Linked DNA regions of Oryzias latipes. Each later gene encodes a partner of the first gene's protein in a complex. Links are inferred from orthologs where the notes say so. Each region holds a gene or a part of one and is shown on either strand. Other genes may lie near its edges.

The links. The genes of interacting proteins can lie anywhere in the genome.
Region 2: upf3b (region 1) and rbm8a share a complex: the UniProt entries of both Homo sapiens proteins name them as parts of the mRNA splicing-dependent exon junction complex. The link is inferred for Oryzias latipes from reciprocal best matches to the Homo sapiens genes UPF3B and RBM8A.
Region 3: upf3b (region 1) and eif4a3 share a complex: the UniProt entries of both Homo sapiens proteins name them as parts of the mRNA splicing-dependent exon junction complex. The link is inferred for Oryzias latipes from reciprocal best matches to the Homo sapiens genes UPF3B and EIF4A3.
Region 4: upf3b (region 1) and casc3 share a complex: the UniProt entries of both Homo sapiens proteins name them as parts of the mRNA splicing-dependent exon junction complex. The link is inferred for Oryzias latipes from reciprocal best matches to the Homo sapiens genes UPF3B and CASC3.

The regions. Positions count from the first base shown.
Region 1 is NC_019868.2:9,735,311-9,739,473, forward strand, and holds the start of upf3b (regulator of nonsense transcripts 3B), read right to left. Parts: upstream 2,807-4,163; 5' UTR 2,674-2,806; coding exon 2,563-2,673; intron 2,314-2,562; coding exon 2,207-2,313; intron 2,113-2,206; coding exon 2,006-2,112; intron 1,923-2,005; coding exon 1,824-1,922; intron 41-1,823; coding exon 1-40. Other genes in the region: ndufa1 (NADH dehydrogenase [ubiquinone] 1 alpha subcomplex subunit 1), read left to right, coding at 3,506-3,607, 3,684-3,773. UniProt on the Homo sapiens protein: Involved in nonsense-mediated decay (NMD) of mRNAs containing premature stop codons by associating with the nuclear exon junction complex (EJC) and serving as link between the EJC core and NMD machinery.
Region 2 is NC_019874.2:29,126,845-29,130,852, reverse strand, and holds the start of rbm8a (RNA-binding protein 8A), read right to left. Parts: upstream 2,804-4,008; 5' UTR 2,796-2,803; coding exon 2,735-2,795; coding exon of another isoform or gene 2,729-2,734; intron 2,215-2,728; coding exon 2,155-2,214; intron 2,076-2,154; coding exon 1,998-2,075; intron 1,432-1,997; coding exon 1,295-1,431; intron 1-1,294.
Region 3 is NC_019859.2:158,188-162,453, forward strand, and holds the start of eif4a3 (eukaryotic initiation factor 4A-III), read right to left. Parts: upstream 2,804-4,266; 5' UTR 2,701-2,803; coding exon 2,547-2,700; intron 1,673-2,546; coding exon 1,600-1,672; intron 1,527-1,599; coding exon 1,460-1,526; intron 1,377-1,459; coding exon 1,314-1,376; intron 1,232-1,313; coding exon 1,099-1,231; intron 1,034-1,098; coding exon 953-1,033; intron 1-952. UniProt on the Homo sapiens protein: ATP-dependent RNA helicase. Involved in pre-mRNA splicing as component of the spliceosome. Core component of the splicing-dependent multiprotein exon junction complex (EJC) deposited at splice junctions on mRNAs.
Region 4 is NC_019866.2:506,203-510,287, reverse strand, and holds the start of casc3 (protein CASC3), read left to right. Parts: upstream 1-1,282; 5' UTR 1,283-1,921; coding exon 1,922-2,113; intron 2,114-4,085. UniProt on the Homo sapiens protein: Required for pre-mRNA splicing as component of the spliceosome. Core component of the splicing-dependent multiprotein exon junction complex (EJC) deposited at splice junctions on mRNAs.

The DNA.
Region 1 (4,163 bases):
TCTCCGTTGTAATACTCAAGAAACCTTTTGTAATCTGGATCTGACATCAACAAAAAGGGTCAAAGTTGTTAATGACACACACCTTTCAAGGTTATGACTTATAGTAACACGTGTACAGTGGTTGACCTGGAGACTTGTGCCGCTTCCTTATGGGATGTCAAGAAAGTGGAACGTACCATTGTAATGCCGCACGCGCCTTATAACGATGCTGGTGTACTGCGTCCTAACGATGCACTCCCGTCGTTAGTTAGGTGCACGCATTGGCTCATTACTATTCATTCAGTCATTTATTAATTCATCTTCAAAACCTGTTTTGTCCCTTTTGGGGTCACAGGGCTGCTAGAGCCTATCCCGACCACTCATGGGCAAGGGAGGGGGACATCCTGGACAGGTCACCAGTCTGTCGCAGGGCCACACATTCACAACTAGGGATAATTTGGAATAACCAATTATCCTATGAAGCGTGTTTTCGGATGGTGGGAGGAAGCTGGAGACCCCGGAGAAAACCCACGCATGCATGGAGAGAACATGCAAACTCCACACAGAAAGGTCCCCCAGCCAGGACTTGAAGCGGGGGGGGGGGGGGGGGGGGGGGCTTGCAGTGAGGCTAACCACTGCGCCAATGTGCAGAAAAAAAGACCAAACTAGCATATAAAACAGCGTCTGACATCTGCAATCATTCTGGGAAAATAAAAAGAATCAAAAACACAAAAAGGTAGGGTGTTTAAATCTCATGTATTTTCTTATGTTTTTACTATTTGTTCGTTACTAACCGCCCACAAATGCTGTGCCCGTAATAGTGCCCATAGAATGCCCAGAGGAAACCCACACAAACGCTCTAATTTCTTTTTTCCAAACAGTCAGGCTGCAAGTACGCCGCACACACATTTCACTTCTAGAGCACTAACGGACTCTCTGCACAGCACACAGGGTTTGGTGGGGTTGAAAACATGAAAAATCTATGCGACACGCCTGTCTTTCACCTACTTCAGTGTTCCCTACAACCTGTTGCCCACAGCATGTAACGCATGAACATATTTGCTCTACAGGCTCACAGAGACATCTCTGATCTGGACACAAATCTGTACACAGCAGTGGTTAGCTAGTGTGTACAAGAAGGCCAGCAGCAGACTCTACTTCCTGAGGAAACTAAGGTCCTTCAACGTGTGCAGCAAGATGCTCAAGATTTTCTACCAGTTTGTTGTGGCCAGCACTCTGTTCTTCTTGGTGGTCTGCTGGGGGGGGCATAGCTGCCAGGGACACTAAAAGACTGAACAAACTGATCAGAAGAGCTGGCTCTGTAATCTGGTTCACAATGGACACATTTGAAGCTCTGATGGAGAGGAGGACTTTGAAAAAGCACGCATCCATCATGGATAATCCTGACCTGTTCTGGACGGTCAGCGGACCACCTTCTCCAAGAGGCTAAGGCAGCTTCATGGTCACAGCGACCGCTACAGGGGATCATTCCTACCTCACTCCATCGGATTCTATAACTCGTCATCCATTTGCAATAGATAAACTCATTTGTCTGTTTTTTTAGAGCTGTTATGTGAACCGATTGTTTTGTTTCTGATTGTCACCTCTGTTTGTGTGTTTGAATTGAGTCTGTATGCTGACGCTGCAACTACCCAATTTCCCAAGCTGGGATCAGTAAAGTCTCTTTATCTTATCTTTATCCTATTTTATGGGGACCCCTGCGTACCCCGTACAGACAACCCGTACCCATTTGCAAGAGCAGCTGTGACTAGGGCATAAAACACCTTCAAACTTCAGACGTGTTGGAGAAAACCACTAGATATTCAAAGGTATAAAAGTCTTACCTTCTGCAATTGTGCCACACTTTGAGTCCTTCTTCTTTATTCTTTTCTTGGCAGTCTTTTGAAAAGGTGCAAACTCCACAATCGCAGGAAATTCTTGACCTGTTTCAGAATGAAATGCTAAGCACAAACTCTATGTGTTGTTAGCTCAAAAAGTTCCAAGCGTGTGTGTGTGCTCCTCAGACCTTTGCCGTCAACAAACACGTAGCCATCAAAGCGATCCCTGAAGAGGACCACATCTTCTTCGTTTCTGAAGTTAATGTAAGCTCTTGCAAAGAGGTGTGGGTAAAGGCTGGAATTTAAAGGGAAAAAAAGAAAATAATTAAAAAAACAAAAACACATTGCAAGAAATGTTATCTTGTGCATGAAATGGTCCAGAAATTCACCTGGTGTCATTGGAGAAAAACTCCAGGTAGTCAACCTCTGGGAGGGGTTGCAACTGTTCCTCTAACTCTTCTTTGGTCAACGTGGGTGGTAATCGTCTGATCACAATCTTGGAAAACATGGTTAACAGCAAAATTCTACTAAAATGTATTATTTGCCCAATAGCTATTCATTCAAAACTAGGCTAAAACATTAATTCATTACACTGTTGTCAATTGTATCATTTAAAATAAGTTGTGCAACATACAAAAGAACCCCACACACATTTTAAACGCATTCAGCTACTTTGAACTTCTTGAATCTATATTATAACGTAACGGTTGTAGCAACATTAGCTAACCCAGCTAGCAAATTGTACCTTTGTCATGGCTTCCTTTTTTTCTTTAGACTTCTCTGTCTTTTCTAGATCTTCGCATTTTATGTCCACTCTTTTCTCTCTTGGTCGGGTGTTTTCTTTGTCTTCTTTCATGGCGCAAAGTTAATTTTAGTCGAAGTTTAATCTCAACTCATCCGACACACTTGTTTACCTTTTAGAAAATTAGCCAGCTAGTAGCAAGCGTACTAACTTCCTATTTGACAGACATGCAATTCCGGCATTGGGCTGTAGAGGGCGCACTCACCCACCCGAAACAACTTTATGTGTATGTTGGGGGAAGTTTATCAAGAAAATATTTTACATTGAAATAATTCAACGGTTTCCGTTTTTAAATATTTTAATGTTACGCGTCAAATACTTTGTCTAAAGGAAACAACAGCAAAGTGAATTTGGGTTTAAGTTAATTGGGATTTATGATTTCAAATTTTCAAAATTAAAGCTCAAAATGACCCTGTCGAATTAATTGTTTTGATTGTCCTTTACTTCGACGGCACAAAGTAAATTTTAAACGTACACTGTAAACCGAAAAACGAAAGAAAAAAATTGAAATTGATCCCGTGTGGACAAAGTACACCAAAATGCCTGCAATCGCATGACATTTTAAGATTCTGTTAAAATTTAAACCGTATTTTATCAGTACAATTTTATTTACAATTGTATTAATAATATACAGTAAAACATTACTAAAATATTCAATAATGCACAGAGCTTTTATCTGCAGTTTTGCAAAAGTGGCAAACACTTTTTTTTCTTTTGAAATGTTTCAACCGGAACTTAACGTTCTCTTCCGGTTGTCGAACGCAGGTCATTTGTGCGGGGACATTTCGTTAGCCATTAACCAAAATAAAGCTCATTTTCTCGCCTAAAGGCAACTCAGTTGTCTTCGCATCTTTAATCATCCGCCTGATCGTGACATTTAAGAAACATGTGGTATGAAATCTTACCCGGTCTGAGCCTTATGGCCGTGGCTCTCATGATTCCAGGTCTTGCCACCATACAAATTCACAAGTTCACCAACGGAGGAAAGGTAATGCTTTAAATGTAACCAAGACTTCAAAATGCATTTACACGACTAATTATTTCCACCATGTGACATGATGTAGGAGAAAAGGGTCGCCCGGGTTCCGTGGCAGTGGTACCTGATGGAGAGAGACAGACGAGTTGGAGGAACGGGTCACTACTTTGATTCCAAGGTGAAGCCTTATTTTGAAAGGGAGAATTAAATACTTTTATAGAATAACGTTTTACTTATTGCAAAGTTCACATTTGAATAATTTATTTGGTAGTTAAGGTTATCAATGCGGCAGCTGGGCTTAGAATTCAACCGATCCTTGAAAATGCTAAACTTGAAGGACCTTCCATGATAATCTGTGTTTTTTGGTGTTCTTCTTGTGGCTCATACTTTATGATGGAGAACATAAAAAAGAAAATTTGCCTCAAAATTGCGTTTCTTAGTGTTTCTTTAATCTTGATGTAAATCAAGAGCAGATGAAAACATGCTGTTGGAAAAGACTTGTAGGTGTGACGTCAAAGCCAGCACAGCAACAAGCCACGACCTCTCTGCTCCGCTCCATTCTGATGCA
Region 2 (4,008 bases), on another chromosome or scaffold:
TGAACAGGTTTAATGTTCGATCTAATGTCAAGACAAGATGTGTTTCAGTTCTTGACGTGAAATAATGGAAGGAATTGAGCGATGAATTAAAATGACGTAATTCTCAGTTAAAAGAAAAAAAGTCTAAAACATATTAAAGGTTACAAAACACAGATGTAGAAGGACTTTGTTTACTTGTCTCCATTTATTAAGGACTGTTTCCTACTTTTTGGTTTGTTAAACTGATTAACTTGGACATTGAAGGACAGGCATATAATAAGCTTCATATGCTTCTGCCTATTTTTTTAATTAATTGTTTATACTGTATGTTAGGTAAACAATGCAAATGACAAACTAAACTAAACCAATAAAACCAAAGCAGACATTTCTAAATACTCCAGTGGAAAAGCCGGGTCTGTTCGGATGAACACAGAACTGATATCCTGCTAACGGAAAACATTTTTTTAGCCCAATTAGGTGAAATGGAATTTTTTTCCAGTTATAAACTGGTTGAAAAACACTGCACCAAAAGAGAAAAACATATTTTTTTTGAGTGAAAATACAGTGACAGTCAGGCTTTAAGTATCCTCAGACTCGTTTTAAAACTGAAAAACAACCCTTTGAAATCTGACAATTATTATAATACAGTTCTGATCACAAAGTGCAGATGTCAGACGGTTTCCTCCTTCACTGAGCAGACCGTGAAGTAACAAACTGCAGAAAGGTCAACCCTCTTCTTCTCACGGCCCCCCAAATGCTTTTCTCATCCATTTTTGTGTCGTGCAGTTAGACCAGAATTATGCCAAAGCTTTTATTTTGGTGGAAAAGTCAAAGACTCAACACTGAGCATTTTAGCCTTTAGTGGCGGCCAAACACCAATAAGACGGAAAGAAAATCCCTCAGTAATAATAAAGCCGAAATAGTTTGTTTTTCATACGACTGTTCTTAAATATCAGCTTCACTTCACAGAAACTAAAGTGCTGCTACAAAAGGGCAGTCCAGGCTCTCTCTTAACCCCTTCACGCAACTGTTCTGAGAACACAACAGCCTTATTTTAGCAACCAACTTTCTTTTCTACAAGTATTATAAAATATATGATTAAATCCTACTGAATGAAATCTTCCACATCATTAATATGATGACTTCCATCCTTCCCTCTGATAATTACTGCCTAAATGCTTGTTTTTAATGTTGATCAAATATTCACTTCTTCCGCTTAGATGTTCATTGGAACATAAGCAACATTTGACATCCAAATGTTGTGTCTTTAAAATACAAAATGTGTTCAAAGAAAAAGGAAATGGTTTAAACTCACCTTCAGATAGCCAGTTCTGCGATCCAGATTAAGATGGAGGTTCTTGATTTCCCCAAACTCTGAGAACTTATCGTGGATGTCTTCCTCTGTGGCCTCCTCGTGCACGCCCGTCACAAACAGGATCCAGCCTTCTACAGCTGCAGAGAGGGGAGGGAACAGGGCATCAGACACCCAAACCCCCCAGTCTCCACACCAAGACAAGCAGATGAGTTTACCTGACCTGCTGGCATTCACGCAGTTTCAAAAGTAAAAGTCTGCATTGTTTCAGAGCAGTTTTTTAGTTTTTGCATAGGTCAAAATTAAAACGCAGCCGTGAAACTGATTTATAACTTTTAAACAATGAACTTTAGGTTAAATTAAATTAGTTATCTGCAGCTGTGATGCAGAGGTAGACCTTCAATCAAAAGTTCAGTTCCTGCCTTGCCTGCCCATGTGTGGACGTGTCTTTTGGGCAAGACACTTAAACCCCACAACGCTCGTGGGGGTTACAGGCTGTGACTGTGCATGGGACTGGGACTTTCAAGCCCTTAGTGGCTTAGTAAAGGTAGAAAAGCACAACATTGACCATTTATTCTATAATCAAATTAAATAAATAAAATAAAAAAAAATACACACAAAGATCTTAGATTTTTTACAATCTAAGTGTGACTACAGCTTGTTAATTTGCTTCTATCTGAACATGAAGGTCACTTGTAACACCTACATCTCTGAGGCCCAGGCTCATCTCCGTCCTGTTCCACAGTATCATAGTCCTCTTTGGCTCTGGACCGGGCCCCATCATCTGGAATCAAAAACTTAGAATCAAAACCAAACCCTAAGAAGTCAAGAAAAATAAAGGGAAAAATGCTTTGAAAGCTCACCTGCACCAAAACCTCGTCCTTTCCTCTTCTTGGCTTTCTCCTTTAACTTGTGGATGCTTTCTGCAAACAGACGAATAAAAGCCTAAGGACGCCGTTTTCAGTTTCCTTTAATTCACAAGAGTTTAGTTTATGAAGTTCTCAAATGGAGTAACTATATGTGTTTTTGGGTTGTTTTTTTAGGAACAATGTGCAATTTTTAAATCGACGTTTTTTCTCTCATCTGCGCAACACTAACAGCATGTAGCCGTTGGCTAACATGGATGCTAGCGCTAGCTTAATAGAAAACAAAACAGCTTTAACGTGCAGAGAAAAATACAGTCCGTTTAAATAATTAACATTTTAAAAGCGGCCCTCGCAAACACAGACGGCTGCACCCCCGCTGAGAGGCTCGCTAAGTGGATGAATGACCGCCTTTCGTTGAGTTAGCTGGATGCTAACACGGCTGCGGCCCGCTAACAAACACGCAGTCTGGGCTGAGCGTGATTCTGACCGCACGTGCGGCTATTTGAATTTCATTATTTGGCTGGCAGGACTGCGGTGCGTCCGCCTCTAATTGTGTAAAACAACGCAATACCGTCACCATCCTCATCCATAGGAAAGTCTTCTCCTCCCGCCTCATGAAGGTCCAACACGTCCGCCATGATGTCTGTTTGACTGAGTACGAACAGCGCATGCGCACGGAGAATCACTAAAGAGTCTGAGTACGTAACTTCCGTAAAGATTTTTTTTTAAACTTTATTGTACAAAACGTAAGTAAGTTTAATACAAAACACAATTTTGCTAAGTAAACTTCAGATATGCCAGGGTAGCATACATATTACAGGAGTTTTAGATAAAAAAAAACATTCAGATTTCAACAACTTTCATACAAACATGCAGCTTTCTGATTAAGACTTTTGGAGATGTTACTGAGATACATTTAAATTTGTTTGATTAATAACACAGGGAAAAAATAGGAGATGAAGAAAATTTGCATTTATTAATATAAAATTAGTCAAATATAATAATAAGATTAATAATGAGTTTTTATTTGAAAATGAAATTTTTGTTATTAATTTTTAGTGCAGAGTTTTATTATAATATTCATGATTAATATCACATGTGTTACTGGTAAAAATGCATAATATTAAACGATAATTTATGTTTTAATAATCATGATTTCTAATTTATCCCTTATGAAATAATTTACATTTATCATCATGAAAACTTTTTATTTTTGCAAAGCATTTTAACTGAAACTGCTTTCATTGGGCTTGAGATGATTGTTTTACGTGGTTTGTGCTTTTTATCTTTTATGTTTTTATATGTATATATATATATATATATATATATATATATATATATATATATTTTAACCTGTGATCTTTGTCTGTGAAAGGTGCTATGCAAATAAAATTTACTTACTTACTCAATCATGATATTAATAAATAATCATGATTTTTTATACTTTAGTGTGGACAATTTAATGCAATATAATTAATGATATATTTGTTATTAATAGCATTGTTAAAATTTCCATGCCATATATTTTCAAGAATTGAAAATTGTTGTTATCTTGGTATTATATTTAGTGTCATCACTGATATAATGAGAACAATGAGAAATGTATACATTTGTTTTAAACATTAGTGTCAACATTCACACAACAAAAATATGATTTAAAATACTTTATTATACTGCAAGGGATAGCATTTCTATTATTAAAATTGTGACTATACTTGTTATTAATATTAGAGTTGCAATTTCTATCATAATTATTATTAGTACATTCTGTGTTAATATTGATGTCAAGGTTTTAGAATCAGAATCATCTTTATTACTAATAAGAGCATGACTGCACATGTAAGGCATTTG
Region 3 (4,266 bases), on another chromosome or scaffold:
AAATGAAGTCTCAGAGATGTCAGGTGCTCCAAACCGGAGAAAGGCTGCTCCTGATTTTTGGTCCCTGAGACCCAGAAGCATCTCCGTCTCTGAGGCCGGCCCCAAACCTCTCAGAGAGCTCGTAGTTTAGGACGGTCTGCCAGAACTTCAGCCATGACGGCGGCTTTGACTGACCAGGGTCATTCAGGAAGTGCAGTCACGCCGGAACTCAACTACAGCATTCCCATCGCGGGAGTTGCCTTCTAAAATAACCGGCCACAGGTGAAATCCACAAGCTAGCTGTCAACATTTCCAGACTTTTCTCTTAAAGTTCAAGCCTTCGTAGAAAAATCCGTCCAGGATTCTAGAATGAAAAAGATCTGATGGCGACGAAGAGCAAAAACACCAACAGCCAAGCAAAGATGTGTGGTGGTGAGATGAAGACCTCCCCATGCGCTACAGAGACCACCACCCCCACCCCCCAAAAGCTCTGCTCCCCCACGAATCTGGAATGTTAAAGCAGAAATCTGAAACCATTCTCTGCAGTGACACTAGCAACACTACAGACATGAATTTAAAGTTCTGACCCTGCTAGCGGTTCTGCTGAAGATTCTGCTGAAGGTTCTTCCTAACCTTCACTTAGAACATCTCCATGTCACCGTTAAAATTCACTGAAGTGTTGCTTTAAACGTCCTAAACAGGAAGTGGTGACATCGCGGCCCGATGGCGTCAAATGGACTTTTCAAATCTGACACATTAAGCCGAAAACACGACCACTGAAAGGAAAGGTGACCTTCAAGTGTGTCTGGAACAGGTGGTTCCAACCTGGAAGGACCAACCCTTCCTGCTCCTTCAACACATTTCAGACGTAACCAAAGGTGCCAGAGTTATTCTGATGACCAGCAGGTGAGCTTTCAGCTCAGACAGAGCTGCTTTGCAGGTACAGAAGACGCTGAACAGCAGAGGACCTCACCTTTGTTCAGCATCTCATCAGCTTCATCCAACACCAGCATCTTGATAGCTCTGGTCCTGAGACTGCGGCGCCGAATCATGTCTGTAAAGAGACGCCGTCAGCATTCCCGTTTGTGCCACTTTTGCCATAAAACCCATTGAACCCACCAAAAACCCGTCCAGGGGTGCCAGCTACCACGTGCTGGCCGTAGTCCAGCTTGCGAATGTCCTCGCCCACGTTGGTTCCTCCGATGCAGGCGTGACACTGAACGTTCATGTAGTCTCCCAGAGCCAGCAGCACCTGCACACAGGACACCGTGACTGGCACCGCCGCCTCTACCTTACAAGCCTTTGGCTGAACATGGCGGTGGAGGCGGGGCTACCTTCTGAATCTGTCCGGCCAGCTCTCTGGTTGGAGCAAGAATTAGAGCCTGGGTCTCCCTGACCTGCAGAAGGAACAGCATCACCACCGAGCTGCAAACGGGTTCTGGCCCGTCTGTCACGGGACACAAGAACAGCAAGAACTCACCTGGATGTCCAGACACTGCAGGACGGAAATACAGAAAGTGGCCGTCTTTCCTGTTCCAGACTGGGACCTGAATGCAGCACAGATCACACGTTACAGCATGGAGGACCAGAGCACCTGCATGTTTTCCAGCCCAGACTTACTGAGCGATGACATCTCTGCCTTTGATGATCTGCTTGATGGCTCTCTGCTGAATGGCTGAAGGCTTCTCGAAACCTGTAACAGAACCAGAACCTGGTCAGGTGCTGTCCATCTTCATTTCCACATAGAGAAACCTCATCTGAGAAGTTCCCATGCTGCTCAAACTGAGGGGGACCAAAGTGGGAAGTTCTGGTGATGCTGACCAGAAAGAAAAGTTTTAGTCCCACAGAAAGGATTTCTATGGAGAAACTGGGTTTTAGGGGTAAAGAAGGATCCTCTCAAGCACAATAGTCCAGGAAAATGTAGAGAATTCATCTTTATCAGTGCAACACTTCAATATTACTGTAGATACAAATCTGATCGATTCTGTCTATTGGGATTTCTCCCGTCCTTTTGGGTCCAGATAATATGTTCATAAAATGTTCTGCCGTCTGGAGAAGACAGAACACATGAACAGAAACAAAATTAAAATACACATTAAGACAGAAGTGTTGACATATATTTATTAATAGTTCTGGGGGAAATTAGTAAAATATTCGCTACATATACGAAGCCATATAGGATGGGAACCGTCTAACTCCTGGATCATGACTGTTACGAGCAACAATACCAACAAAGATCGTGTCCAGGCATTACTGAACGAAACCCGCAAATTTTAGTATCTGGTTTTCGTTTAGTAAATAATCAACACGAATTTAAACTAATTTCATGTCAGCGCGGCCGCACGCGGCCTTAGCATGCTAGCATGAAGGCTAAAAAGATGAAGTTTTTCTTCCCGCCAACGACAAAATGATCAGGTCACACCAATCTACCCGCTTTAATGTAAGTTATTACGGGATGTAGTCTGATACCAACTACGTTTTCATTCCTTTTTTAAGGTGAACTGAACCACACAGCGGATTTAGGCTTAGCATCTGGAGGCGGAGGCCTCTCGAATCCACCGGCCTACCGTAGGCGTAGATTCCCCGGAGCAGGTCCTCACGGAGCCCCATGGTGTCGAAGGTAGGGGTGACATCCACCTCTTCACTGGTTTCAAACTCCACCTTGGTCATGTCCTCCTCCTTCAGGAGTCTTCTCCTGCCCGGTGTCCCAGCAGCGGCCATGACGGTCGTGTCTGTCTTCAAAACGAATCGGTAGTCTCCGCAAAAGGGGGGTAACCGCTTTGCTAGCTACTAACAGCGCTCCACGTGTCGCTCTGCTTACGTCATCAGCAGGCGACCAGGTTTATCAGGCGGAAGAGCAATTGTTTTTCGTTTGGAAAAAACATTTGAGGTTTACAATATTGTGGCAGCTGTATAAAGTGTCAAACCACAATTAAAACAGATGTAACCAACTTCCTGGATCTTTTATTTTGGGAGAGGTGTGTCCCTCCCGGGTTACCCTAATTGACCAGCTGGCCAAGATGTTGTTGTCCCATGGGGGGGGAATGGGATGACCATTTGAAATCTGTTGCTTTTGCTTACAACATCTCCAAGCACACCAGCACACGGTTTACTCCCTTTTATCTTATGCACGGGCGCGAAGCCCGGACCCCGGCAGAGGTTCTCATTCCTAGTGGGGTTGGTGGCATTGGCAGTGCAGCCACGCTGCCTTTATACGCGTCGTCTCTTGTGGAGCGGCTGGAGATTGCTTTCAGTGCAGCGAGGGTTAATGCAGCAGAGGCGCAGGAGAAACAGAAACTGTACCATGATGAGAACTCTCACCACAAGGGCTTTACAGAGGGTGCTCTGGTCTGGCTTAATAACCCAACAGAGGGCCGCACAAAACTAGCACCGCACTGGAAAGGTCCCTATCGTGTGGATCGGGTTCTGGCTTCAGGTGCAGAGGCCGCTTTGACATATCGCATTGTCAACCCCCTGGATATGTCTGAGCGGGCCCAGGTTGTTCATCATGACAGGTTAAAACGTTACACTCTTCCCCTGCCTGCTGGTTCCCCAAACGACAGTATGTCCACCCCGCCATCATCCTCTCCTTCGGCGGGTACTTCATTGGACCCCCCAGATAATGGTGATCCACCCCAACAGGGTCAGAGGGACGCGTTTGGGACAGCCCCTGCACACTCCCGCAGTGGCAGAATGGTGCGTGCTCCAACACGTTATCAGGACTTTATTAGGATGTAACAATACAGAGTTATGTCACAGTGAAATTTTTGTTGGTGTTGTGAGGAGACTGTCATATGTTGTTGTGTTTTCCTTCCTTGAAAGATTCTGTTGAATAATATGCTGTTGGTTGGCAGGCAATGTTGTATTATTATTCAGATTTTTTTTTTTCCTCTCCCTCCTGTGGTGGGAAATTTGCCGGTGGGTTCTGTAAACTCATGTTGTTCCTGTTTGGTTGACTTTTGTTGACGCCATATTGGGTCTCGAATGTTTATTTCTTAATTCATTTATTTTATTTATTTTTTTGCACTCCCCGGCCTGTTGCATTTCCTGTAGAAATTGTAGAAATGAGGACATTTCTTTTGAAAGGGTGGACGTATGTAACCAACTTCCTGGATCTTTTATTTTGGGAGAGGTGTGTCCCTCCCGGGTTACCCTAGAGACCAGGGGGCGTGGCAAGTTAAATTTGGGAGAGTAGAAGAAGAAGAATAAAGAATTGGTGAGCGGATCCACTAAATGGCGGACCTGTTGTCCCGTGTCGTTTATGACCACAGAGTGAATGATTATTGA
Region 4 (4,085 bases), on another chromosome or scaffold:
ATCTTATTTCTATTTTCATGTGATGCATATATTCATATATATATATATATATATATATATATATATAACTTATCCAATTTTGCCAACGTAAATGAATTACTTCTATTGGTAACAAGTAATTGAGTTAAATTTATTCAATCTAATTTCTTACGTCTATAAAACTCAATCGTTGTTTTTACAGCTCAAATTTACATATTTATCTAACTAAATGTCATATTACTCCAATTCAAGTAATTTTTTTTCCATCGTAATGAATTATAATTCTTGAACTCTCAAATGTCTAAGTTTGAGCCGGCAGATCCTCATTTTAATAACAATAGAAAGAACAAAAGAGTGCATTCAGAGTGCGTTCATTCATTTAGGAATTTTCCAACATTGTCAGTATTCTAGTTAACCGTAGGGCTGCTCTATAAACTCATCATCCTCTTCCTCCCTCTCACTCATGGTGCAGAGACGTAAGCATAGTAGGACAAAATAACTCGGCAAAACACAGTAAAACAGCTACACAACTAAACACATTTGGTCAAAAACCCACACTTAAACCCAAATCCGTCCAGACAGGCAAAGGAAATGGTAACCCACAATCCCTTGTGGTGCCGATCTAACAGCAGCACCAAAGTTACACCTACTTAATTGAATTAATTTGAATGAAAGTGAAATAACTGTCTGAAAACTACGTGTTATTTTAAAACTGACTTAAAAAAATGATTTATCTTAACTGAAGCAAATAATGAAGTTAGATCAAAGTAAAAAGTTTATCTTTCCAACATCCATATGTGGTCTTATCATCCTCTCATGGTTGAAAAAGTATTATCTGAGCTTCTTCATCCACTAAATCATCTTCAAATGGACACGCCATGCTGCTTCACCTCTCTGAAAACAAACTAACCTTCAACTAAACCTGCTCCAGACCAGGTAATAACTTTAGCTTGTAGCTCCGCCCACACGCGGCCGCGGCATCAAGCTTTAAAGAACAATTTCTAAGAGGCGGGGCGTTGCACCCCCCAACAACAGGTTAGATGACAGAGCCCCCCGGTCCATTAAGCGTCTCTGCCGTTCACGGAGCTTCAGTACGTAGAAGTCCAACAGCCACACGGCCTAACGTAGTCCGCTATTATGTATTCATGAGGGAAACCGCAGAACCGACCCTAAAACCGCCCAATCTGGCAACACTGTCTTCCTCTTAACCAATCAGAGAGATACTTATTTGAAAGAGGGGGGTCGTTCCCGCTGCTTGTCCGTCACACCTCCCCGTCCCGATCCCGCCACCGGCTCCCGCATCTCTGCCGCGTGTCCCAAACACACCGGGAGCAGCTCCTCTGCTCTGCTTGTCTGGTTCTGCTGCAGATTCGTTCTTCACGGTCCAGAACTCCGAACCGCCCCTTCACACACCTGGGTCTGAGGAGAGAGGCGTTCACGGACCCTCGGAGTTCACAGCTACTTGGAGGAGGAGGAGATGCTGGGAGAATGTCTGAGGAGGGGAGTGGAGACGAAGAGCGGGCCGGCCCGCTGGACATATCTACATGAAACATATCTACATGAGACGTATTTGCTGGTTATGACATCATCAGTCTGCTGGTCATGACATCATCAGGCTGTTTATCCTCAGACGTCACCGTTCCTGACAGCCCTGTTCAGGGGGACCCAGACCCCCTTGTGGCTACACGGTTCTGCGGTGGCTGGACGGCTCAGGGACCCACCCTGGATGATAGTGGTCACTCAGTGGGAATCGAACGCTGATTTCTGATTTCTGCTGGTTTAGTTTGGGTGAACCAGGATGTTTATTTCTTTTCTTTTATGAAGTTCCTGAAATTTGGAATGTTTTTATACAATCGCGTCCAGCAGGCAGCGGTAACCGAAATAAACTCTATTTCCCACAATCCTTTGGGGTTTCCGGTTCCAGCTTGTTCGGAGTTCTAAGATGGCGGACCGGCGGCGACGGAGGAGGCGCGCGTCCCAGGACAGCGAGGACGAGTCCGGGTCCGGGTCCGGTTCGGACAGTGGCAGGTCGGGATCGCCGGCTACGAAGGCGCGAGGGCGGGACGTGGTTCCGGAGGAGCCGGTGGAGGCCCGGCGGGAGGAGGCGAAGAAGAGCGACGTGGAGTCCGAGTGTGTGAGTAGCTGCGCCGGCTAACCCGGGAGCTAACGGCGGCTCCGGGAGGCGGCCGGCGGCGGTGACCCGGCCCGCTGCCCGGTGGGCCGGACCGGACTGGCAGCGGGGAAACGGTGGGGTGGGGGGTCATTCACGCCGTAGAGCAACCGCTTCCGGTTTACAACTCCCTTCAAGCTGCTCAAACTCTGAGAATGTCCGTTAATTTGAGTCGCGCGCGCCGCAGAGGGCTGGGGAGGGAGGGAGGGAGGGAGGGGGGGGGTCTGCACTGAACCCGGCAGAGGGCTTCCAGGGTCCTGGCCGGCTTTAGTCCGGTTCTGCTGGGTTCCGTGGGGCAGGTCCCGCTATGAGTCACCAGATAAGAAGCGGAACCGGGTTTCTGCTGCTTTGGGTCCAGTCACACGGACTCGAACCTGAGCCCAGAGGAAGCTGCTATGTTGGGGATTTGAACCTGCATCTCTGCTCCAAACATACACACGGCGCTCCTGCTGGCTGCATCACGTGACCAGAGATGGATCAGACGCAGGGTGGACTGCAGATCGGAACCAGCCTTCATATCGGCCCACATCCTGGACCACGTGATACATTCTGACCCCCCCCCCCCCCCCCCCCCCCCCCCCCCGTTCAGCAGCTGGCTTACATACACAGATGGGGGCGGGGCTACCTGGCCAGCACCAAAGGCACCTGAGGTTTCAGTTCCCGCCCAAACACAGACAGACCCCCCCCTTCCCCCGATGGGCTGTATGTGGGCACTGGAGTGAGCGATGATGCGTTCACACAACGCCGTTCTCGTGTCTCCTCCGTGTCGGACGCCTGTCCTGGAACGTCTTCATCTAGAGCAGTGTCTTTCAACCAGTGTGCCGTGGGAAATTGCCCTCATTCACTGATCTAAAAACATTTTCCATCTCCAGGATTTCAGCTCTGTGTTCATCCAAACATCCTGATAAAACACTGAGGAGTTAGGAATATGAAAGATCATAAAATACTTTTTTTTGCGTTTATTTTATTTTATTAAAGACATTTTGATAAGAATGACGCGATTCAGCTGCACCTTCGGCTGTATTTTGGAAAAGTCCCGCCCCTTTAACTGTCTTCACCAATCATTCTTGGGGGGCTTAATCACATGTCATCAGTCTGACCAATCAGAAGTGGTTAAAGTCTTCACTTCCGTGTTCTTAATTCTGCTCATAAAGTCACTCAGTTCTAACAAAAATACCAGCTAAAGCTCGTCTTTAGCGGTGTAGCTTTCCACAGAATCCGGTATCAGACCGTGGAACAAGTGAACAAAACCATGAAGCTCCGAAAAGCGATCTTTGGCCGTTTTATGCACTACATCTCCCATGATGCATTGGGTTGTGAGAGTGACGGTGCACAGGGAGATCTGTTGTTAAACGTCTTGAAACCAACGAACACACAAACTATTTTTAAATCTTCTAACTTAACTTTTATTGCATCTTTTAGAAAAAACAGCTGCAGTTTCCAGCTTTTTCTGCAACAACTATCTCAAAAATGCATGTGAGATTGTGGAGGGAGGGGCTGTAGATCAATACAGACTATGAGATTCTCCTTTTTTTTATTTTAATTTTTGGATGCTGGTGGGCCGCGGGATTTTTTTTAAGGTTAAAATGTGCCGTGGCTCAGAAAAGGTTGAAAAACACTGGTCTAGAGGCTCCAGCGGCGAGTGGGAGGAGCTACTGTTAAAGGACCTGGATGATGTTTGGAGAGCTCAGCGTTAGTAATCCCGCCTCCACGTCTGCGTTCATGACATCTCCGTGGTGCGGCGAGCTTCACCGTCTGCTTTATGGCGGCGCTTCCAGCGCTCCTGTCTCCGTTTGACGACTTCCTGTCAACATTTTATGTCGTCTCCATGAAACCGACATCCTGATGTTCAGGACAGCAGATCCTCCAGAAATCAGACATTTATCGTCATTTCCAGCTGTGCAACACGTAGATCGCAAAAGACGGCCAAAAGGTC